Rattus norvegicus: one gene and its partner. The protein of the gene in region 1 binds, or shares a complex with, the protein of each later gene. Links are inferred from orthologs where the notes say so. Each region holds a gene or a part of one and is shown in the gene's direction. Other genes may lie near its edges.

Region 1 (2,760 bases):
CCTGTCACCGTAGGTGCTAAATGAAGATGGGTATTCCTCTACCATCAAGGACAAGATCCTGACCATCGATGTGAGGCCTGGGTGGAGGCAGGGCACGCGCATCACCTTTGAGAAGGAAGGGGACCAGGTGAGAGGGAGAGAAGCTGGCTCGGGGCAGTCAGTCACCAGGTTCAGGTAGTGGGGGGACCGAGAGGGAAGGAACACATTTTTTTCCTGTTCCTACAAGTTTTGGTCTAGAGTTAGGTGGTCCCCAGAGCCCCTTCCCAGGGACAGAGCATCCCAATGCTTCTGTGAGCTCAGCTTGGAGATCACTACCATTTTCCACAGTGGGAAACTGAGGTCCGAGATGGAAGAAACTTGCTCAAGATATGAACACAAAAGGCTGAAAGAAGGGCCTGGGGAGATGACCCAATACCACCCAGGGATGGAGACCTGGACTTGGTCCCCAGCGCCATTGGCAGAGCCCCTGTGATACCAGTGCTGGAGAGGCAGAGACAGAGGATCTTGGGGTTTACTGAACAGCCAGTCTGAATTGATGTGCTCTTGGGTCAGGAGAGATCCTGTCTCAAAAAATAAGATGGAGAGCAAGTGTCAATTTGTCGCCTCCGCCAGCACATACATGAATATAGGCCTGTGCTCACACAGAGGAAACACGCGTGTGCACATATACACACATACACACAGACAGAGAGGAACACACACACAGTGTAACACACACAGAGGAACACACATACACAGAGAGACAGAGACAGAGAGAGACAGAGACAGAGGAACACACACACAGTGGGACACACACACACACACACACACACACACACACACACACACACACACACACCCCTGGCGGGAGAACTCAGTTCAGCTTCCCTTCCAGTGTCTTTCCTTGGTGCAAGGAGAAAGATGTTCAGAAGCATTTAATTAATAACAATATTAAGCTAAAATACCTGTGGAAACATTGTTATTGTACAAGGATCCCAAGTGCTTACATGTTGACAAGAAACAGTAATGGCCAGCTCAGAGCTGAGAGAGATGGATTCTCTTGCCCCCACTTGTCCCTTTCTTACGTGGAAAACACCTGCTTCCAACAATCATGCTTCAACCTGGGCCATTGCGAGCCACAGCAATTCAGGAGGCTGAGGCAGGGGATCACTTGAGCCTTAGGAGTTTGAGTTCAACCTGGGTGACATAGCGAATTCCAGGCTAGTCTGGCTACAGAGTGAGACCCTGTCATAAGTAAGCGAGAAGACAGGCAAGCAAATAGATATTCAGTGCCAACATCCTCCACTCTGGCCAGCTTTTCCCAACCTTGGCATGGCCCAGGGCCTCCTCAGAGCCTAACCTCTGGCCCTCCCTTCATCTGGGCTTTGAGCTTACAATTTTTGACTATAAGGCAATTTCTGACCATCTGACTATTTCTTGTCCTGGGAACAGCAGCTGCTCTTGCTCTCTGTCTTCAGTGGTCAGAGTTGAGGCAGCTCACTGAAGCGAAGAGATCACTGCTGAGTTTCTGTTAGGCAGAGCAGCTGTTTGACCCCAGCTCAGGGTCTAGCTATCACTTGCGGAAGTCCCTGCCCCACACTACTGAGAACACTTACTTTGAGCATGCTCAGTAGAGAAGTGCTTTGGGAGTGGGAAGTGATTTTGATCTAGGGAAGCTTCTCTAGAGGGTGGCCCTAGGCCACACTGAATGCTCCCTCTAGAAAACTGGGCCTAGTTCTCCTTGCACAGTGAGGACCTGGAGACAAGTAGAGACAGAAATGTGGCCAAATCATATAAGCAATAAACCCGTTACCCCTTGGCTTTCCCCGCCTAGGGCCCCAACATTATCCCGGCCGATATTATCTTCATCGTAAAGGAGAAGCTGCACCCTCGCTTCCGCAGGGAGCAGGACAACCTCTTCTTTGTGTACCCCATTCCTTTGGGCAAGGTGAGTGGGTACAGCGCAGAAGGCCATGGGGGCCCAGAGTGAACCCCACCTGCAGCAGCTCAGTTCCATCTCTTCTCCCCTAACCAACTTCTGCAGTCACAGGCAGGGCCCTATATCTCTCTCCCTGGCATTAGTTGGATCTGTGGGACAGCCCCTCCCCATCTCATCTTCCCACCCTGTCCTGGTCCTGCTGCTGTCCCCAGGCTCTCAACATGTCCAAGTGGTTCTCCTCAAGGTGCCCCCGTTGACTCATTCTTTGCACTTCAGGTCTCAGGGTGAGGACACCTGCCCACCTCACCCTAGAGCTGCTGCCCCTACTGTGTGGCAGCATTCAGAGCCTGTCACCCCTGCCTCTCAAAAGCCTTACACTCTGTCATCACGGAACTGCCTAGCTCAGGGTTGGAACCCAGGTAGACTCCCAGACACCTTCTAAATAGAATGGCTGCAGTGATGCCCTGTAGACCTCTCTCTCACTCTAACCTCCCCCACCCTCAGGCCCTTACCTGCTGCACTGTGGAGGTGAAGACCCTTGATGACCGGCTGCTCAACATCCCCATCAACGACATTGTCCAGTGAGTCTGTCTGCCTAGTCCCCAAGTAGCCACAGAGAAGATGGACTAAGACTTGGCAGGGCTGTGCAGGGAACCCTGGGAACCCAGGCTAGGATTCAAATCCACTGGCCTCTGCCTGAGCCACGGGCTGTGTTCACCCTATGGTGGGATCACCTTTCTCTAACCCATGGGAAGCCCCTGCATAGGCCCGAGAAGCCCAGTGCTGGTCCATCTCTTGTCTCCATCCCCAAAATCTTCATCAGAGCATGGAGCAGTAGCTCC
Region 2 (4,298 bases), on another chromosome or scaffold:
GAATTAAGGGATCGTAGATCCTTAAGGAAAAGTTTGGCTCCAGGGTTGGGGCAAAAAAAAATATAAGCAGCCAGAGACAGTTTATTATGCCAGGAAGTAAGACTCTGACAATGTAGACACAGGAGCCATCTTGAAGGCTTATTCCAGTGCTACATTTTTGCTTCCACAGGAACCCATAATCTCAAACCCGGAACCTGTGGATGTTATGTTGTATGATAAAGGGGGCTTTGGAATTGTGATTAAGGATCTTAAATAAGGAGTGTGTGTTATACAAGCGGGACCTCTCAGTTACTTTTCTATTGGTGGTGAAGAGATACCACGATCAAGACGGTTTACAAAAGAAAGCACTTAACTTGAAGCTTTGCAGTTTTAGAGGGGGAATCACAGCCGCCATGGGATTGGGAGCATGGGCACAAGCAGGCACGGTGCTGGAACAGTTCTCAAAAGCTTGTCTTCACGTTGGAGGTAGGGGCAGACAGAGCGAGCCTGCTGTGGACTTTTGAAACCTCAAAGTCCACCCCCAGTGACACACCTCCTCCAACAAGACATCTCCGAAGCCTTTCAAAAGAGTTGCAGCAACTGTCAACCAAGCATTCAAATATCTGAGCCTCTCGGGCTCATTCTCACGGAAAGCGCCACATAGGCACAGCTGTAATTGCCAGAGGTGTCAGTAAGGCCAGACGTGGAGGGTGGCAGAGTGACAAAACACATGGAAGAAGGAGCATGAAAGTCAAGATCATGTCCAGAGACAGCTTCTAGAAGTCAGAAGACAGGGAAACGGAACATACAGAAGGGTTTGTGTGGATTAAGTTTTCCACATCCCTGCTGCTTCATGTGATCGGACGAGGAGTTGTTGTTTGGTGAAGTGCAACTTCCGATATCTTAGATTGAATATATGTGTGGCTCGACGAAATCCCCAGTGCAACCCCCAGTCACTGATCCTCTCGCTATTCTCGTAGAATCCCAGCACAGAATCACCAATGCACTGCCAGAGCGTCTCTCCATGCCTGGATTACTGAGTGACTGCTGCACTGCTTAAACGCGACAAGCCCTCTGAGGATACCACCCCTGGCACTTGTCCCACATTCAGTACCGAGTAAAGATGTCTGAGTGCTCTGATGTTGGGGGCGGGTGGGCAAAGGAAGGGCTCAGACTCTGTTGATCCATCAGCGTCCCTTCTTGCATTTATGCAAGCCTCTACCACCGAGCAATGCCAGGCCCATTGTTTGCTTTTTGTTGCTCTGGTAAACACTATGACCCGGGGGGAGGGGGGAAGAATTTATTTGGTTTACAGATTACACTCAGTCTATCATCAAGGAAAGCCAAGCCAGCAACGCAATGGGAGAGTGAGCGTGAAACAGTAACCATGAAAGGAAGGCTTTCGTTCTCTGGCTGATTCGGCTACCTTTTCTACACAGCCCAAGCCTGCCTTCTCAGGGACAAGCACTCCCCATAGTGGACATATGCCCATAATTAGCAACCAAGAAAATGCCTCCCAGACACGCCCACGAGTCAATCTGATGGAGACAATTCTTCATTTGAGATTTCCTGCCCCCAGGTATATCTAGGTTTGTGTCACATTGACAAGAACTAACCACGCACACCAGGGGAGAGTGCAAGCTAGAGCCTGGTGGAGGGTGTCTTTGGGCTAGCTGAAGTTGCTTGTGTGTGAGTTCACTCTGATATTTTGGTTGTGAGCCTAGCCTTTAACGGCTGAGCCATCTCTCCAGCCCGTGAGTTCACTCTGAAAGGTCTTAAAATTACCAAGCCAACAAGCCTGCAGCCTTGAAAGTGTCTCTCCTGACTTCAAAGATCTGCTGCTCCACAAGGCTCCTATCTAAGAAGAGTCCCCGTGTCTGCTGGGTTCCTCCCGCTGTTTCTCCACAGTGTTTCCTTTCCCATAAATCTGGTTCTCCCATCTGCGTGCCCCCTCCCCTACAGTGCGCGTTCCTGGCTCTATCGAGAGTGCACCCCCTCCCCTAGAGTGCGAATTCTCCTTTCATTTCCCTTTGCCTCCACTACTTGGGCTGCAATGGAACCTTAGCTCTACACTAGAGCGTGCTCTCGTTGCCAGGCAACGGGACGCGACTCACTGGCGTGTGGCCAGAACGTGCATCGGATGCGTGCACCAAGGAGGCTGGAGCGTTTTCCTTCGAACCGGCCCTCTAGTGTCTCTGCAGAAGCAGTTCTAAAATTTTCACCTTGAGAGTCAAGTAGGTCTCAACTCAGAATCCGAGGGAGGGTTAGTTCTCCTGTAAGAGCCTTTGGAGCGCAAGGACTCCTTCTCCTTCCTCCTCTCTTCCGGCTCCTCCTCTTTCTCTTCTTCCTCCCCCCCTCCTTCTCCCGCCCTCTAGCCACCCAATAGGAAAACTAATCTAAGTGTCTAGGTTGGTGGCTGCCTGATTGAAATTTACTTTTAGATAAGCAGGTTACTTGCTAGCACAAATATATATAAGACAATTATTCATTGTTTCTCAGAAATTAGGTCTGCGGTGGTTTTGAGTGCCGAATCCAGCACTCTTCCCAGGTCCTGGCAGAGAACCTCCTCCATTGTCTCAGAGCAGCTGCTCCAGATGTTTCTGTGGGAGCGGACTTTCTTCTGTGAAGCTGGATGAGCACTGGTGTTTGCTGGGAAATAACACTTCTTAGGACAGAAGAGATGGCTAGTAGTTTCCTAACCTGACCAGGAAATGTATGTTGCAGAGATGACAGAGGGACCTCATGAAAGCCCCACGGAGAACGCTAAGCAGCTGCCAGAGCCCCAGATCCTATGTTTTTGGAGCAGCAGGAAGAGTGTATTCCATGTTGTATATAAATGACACTGATACGTCCATGTGGTGATCTTATCTATAGAGAATTTCCCACAGAAGAAGCACCGTGAAGACACAGCCCAGTCAGTTGCCGTGTTTGTCTCTCTGTGATTAGGACACCAGTGCCAATCTAGTTGGAAATCAGCGTATTTGTGCCAGCTCCAGTCGTTCTTAGGGCTACACTATACATACACGTGTATATTCCTTTGGAAGCAGGAGCAATTTCTACATCTCCCTTTTCCTCCTGCATTGTGCCTCACTAGGAAACCACTGCCTATTTTAGAGAGCATTTCCAGCCCCTTATATTGTGGCTGGATTCCATGGTGTTGTATGTAATTGATCCCCTGCCAGGACATTCAGACAGCACTTTCAGTCTGACTATAATAATAACGTGTGAATAACCACGTTCACATGTCACTCCAGTCTTGAGTCTGCACCTTTGAGACAGGAGTCGAGAACTGCAATGGTGAACATATTCTGGTCTTTTAATCTCATTGGGTCACAATTCTGGGCTTGGGTGGGATCATTTGTTTGGTCTGTTATCCTATATAACTATAAATAGAAATAGTCACCCTAAAAAATACTCACGTATCTGCCTTCATACCTGAAAAGACTGGGGAACAGCTGAGAGTAGGCACACGTTTGATTACTTGCCACCATGGAGAGACAGCAGGGCACACACATGCGCATGCATGCACACACATACTAACACTCTCTTATACACTTTGTAGGCAGCATGACAAGGGCTGTATGAGCTACTTGAAGTAGGAGAAACTCCCTTGTACTGCTTGACAAAACTCCAGAGCCAGACATGATCTGTGGCTCGAAGGAGGAGGTATGTTCCAAGAGTAGAGAGGAAAGGATTATTGAGATGGGAAAGCACAGTGTGATAGCTAGAATATGGCAGGATATTCAGTGGGGTAAGAGCCCAGGATATATGATGACAGGGACGTGCTTGAGGTGAGTCTTAAGGGAAGCTGTGGTGGTTTGAATATGCTTGGTCCAGGGAGTGGCACTGTTAGGAGGTGTGGCCTTGTTGGAAGAAGTGCGTCACTCTGAAAGTGGGCTTTGAGAGCTTCTTCCTAGCTGCCTGAGGAGGATGCCAATCTTCTCCTGGAGGCCTTCACATTAAGATGTAGAATTCTCAGCTTCTCTCCTGCAATGCCTGCCTGGATACTGCCATGGTCCTGCTTTATGGATAATGAACTGAAACTCTGAAAATGCAAGCCAACCCCAATTAAGTGTTGTCCTTATAATAGTGGCCTTGGTCACGGGCACTGACTAACACAGAAGCTGATACCAGAGACTGAGGATCGCTGTGATACCATGGTTTTGGCTGGAGGAATGTGGCTTTTGGGACTTTGGATTTGGAAAGCCATGGAATGCTTCAAGTGAGGCTTAATGGTTCGTCCTAGTAGGAATATAGAAGATATTGGTGATTTGAACTCTGGAGATCTTTCTTATGCTTTGGTGAAGAATGTTGCTGCT

Evidence for each region.
Region 2: Dnajb13 (region 1) and Dydc1 share a complex: the UniProt entries of both Homo sapiens proteins name them as parts of the axonemal radial spoke complex. The link is inferred for Rattus norvegicus from reciprocal best matches to the Homo sapiens genes DNAJB13 and DYDC1.

Annotation. Positions count from the first base shown.
Region 1 is NC_086019.1:164,262,367-164,265,126, reverse strand, and holds part of Dnajb13 (dnaJ homolog subfamily B member 13), read left to right. Parts: exon of another isoform or gene 1-13; coding exon 14-127; exon of another isoform or gene 128-560; intron 561-1,813; coding exon 1,814-1,927; intron 1,928-2,422; coding exon 2,423-2,499; intron 2,500-2,760. UniProt on the Homo sapiens protein: Functions as part of axonemal radial spoke complexes that play an important part in the motility of sperm and cilia.
Region 2 is NC_086034.1:16,973,721-16,978,018, forward strand, and holds the start of Dydc1 (DPY30 domain-containing protein 1), read left to right. Parts: upstream 1-1,311; 5' UTR 1,312-1,558; intron 1,559-2,059; exon of another isoform or gene 2,060-2,314; intron 2,315-4,298. UniProt on the Homo sapiens protein: Functions as part of axonemal radial spoke complexes that play an important part in the motility of sperm and cilia. Plays a crucial role during acrosome biogenesis.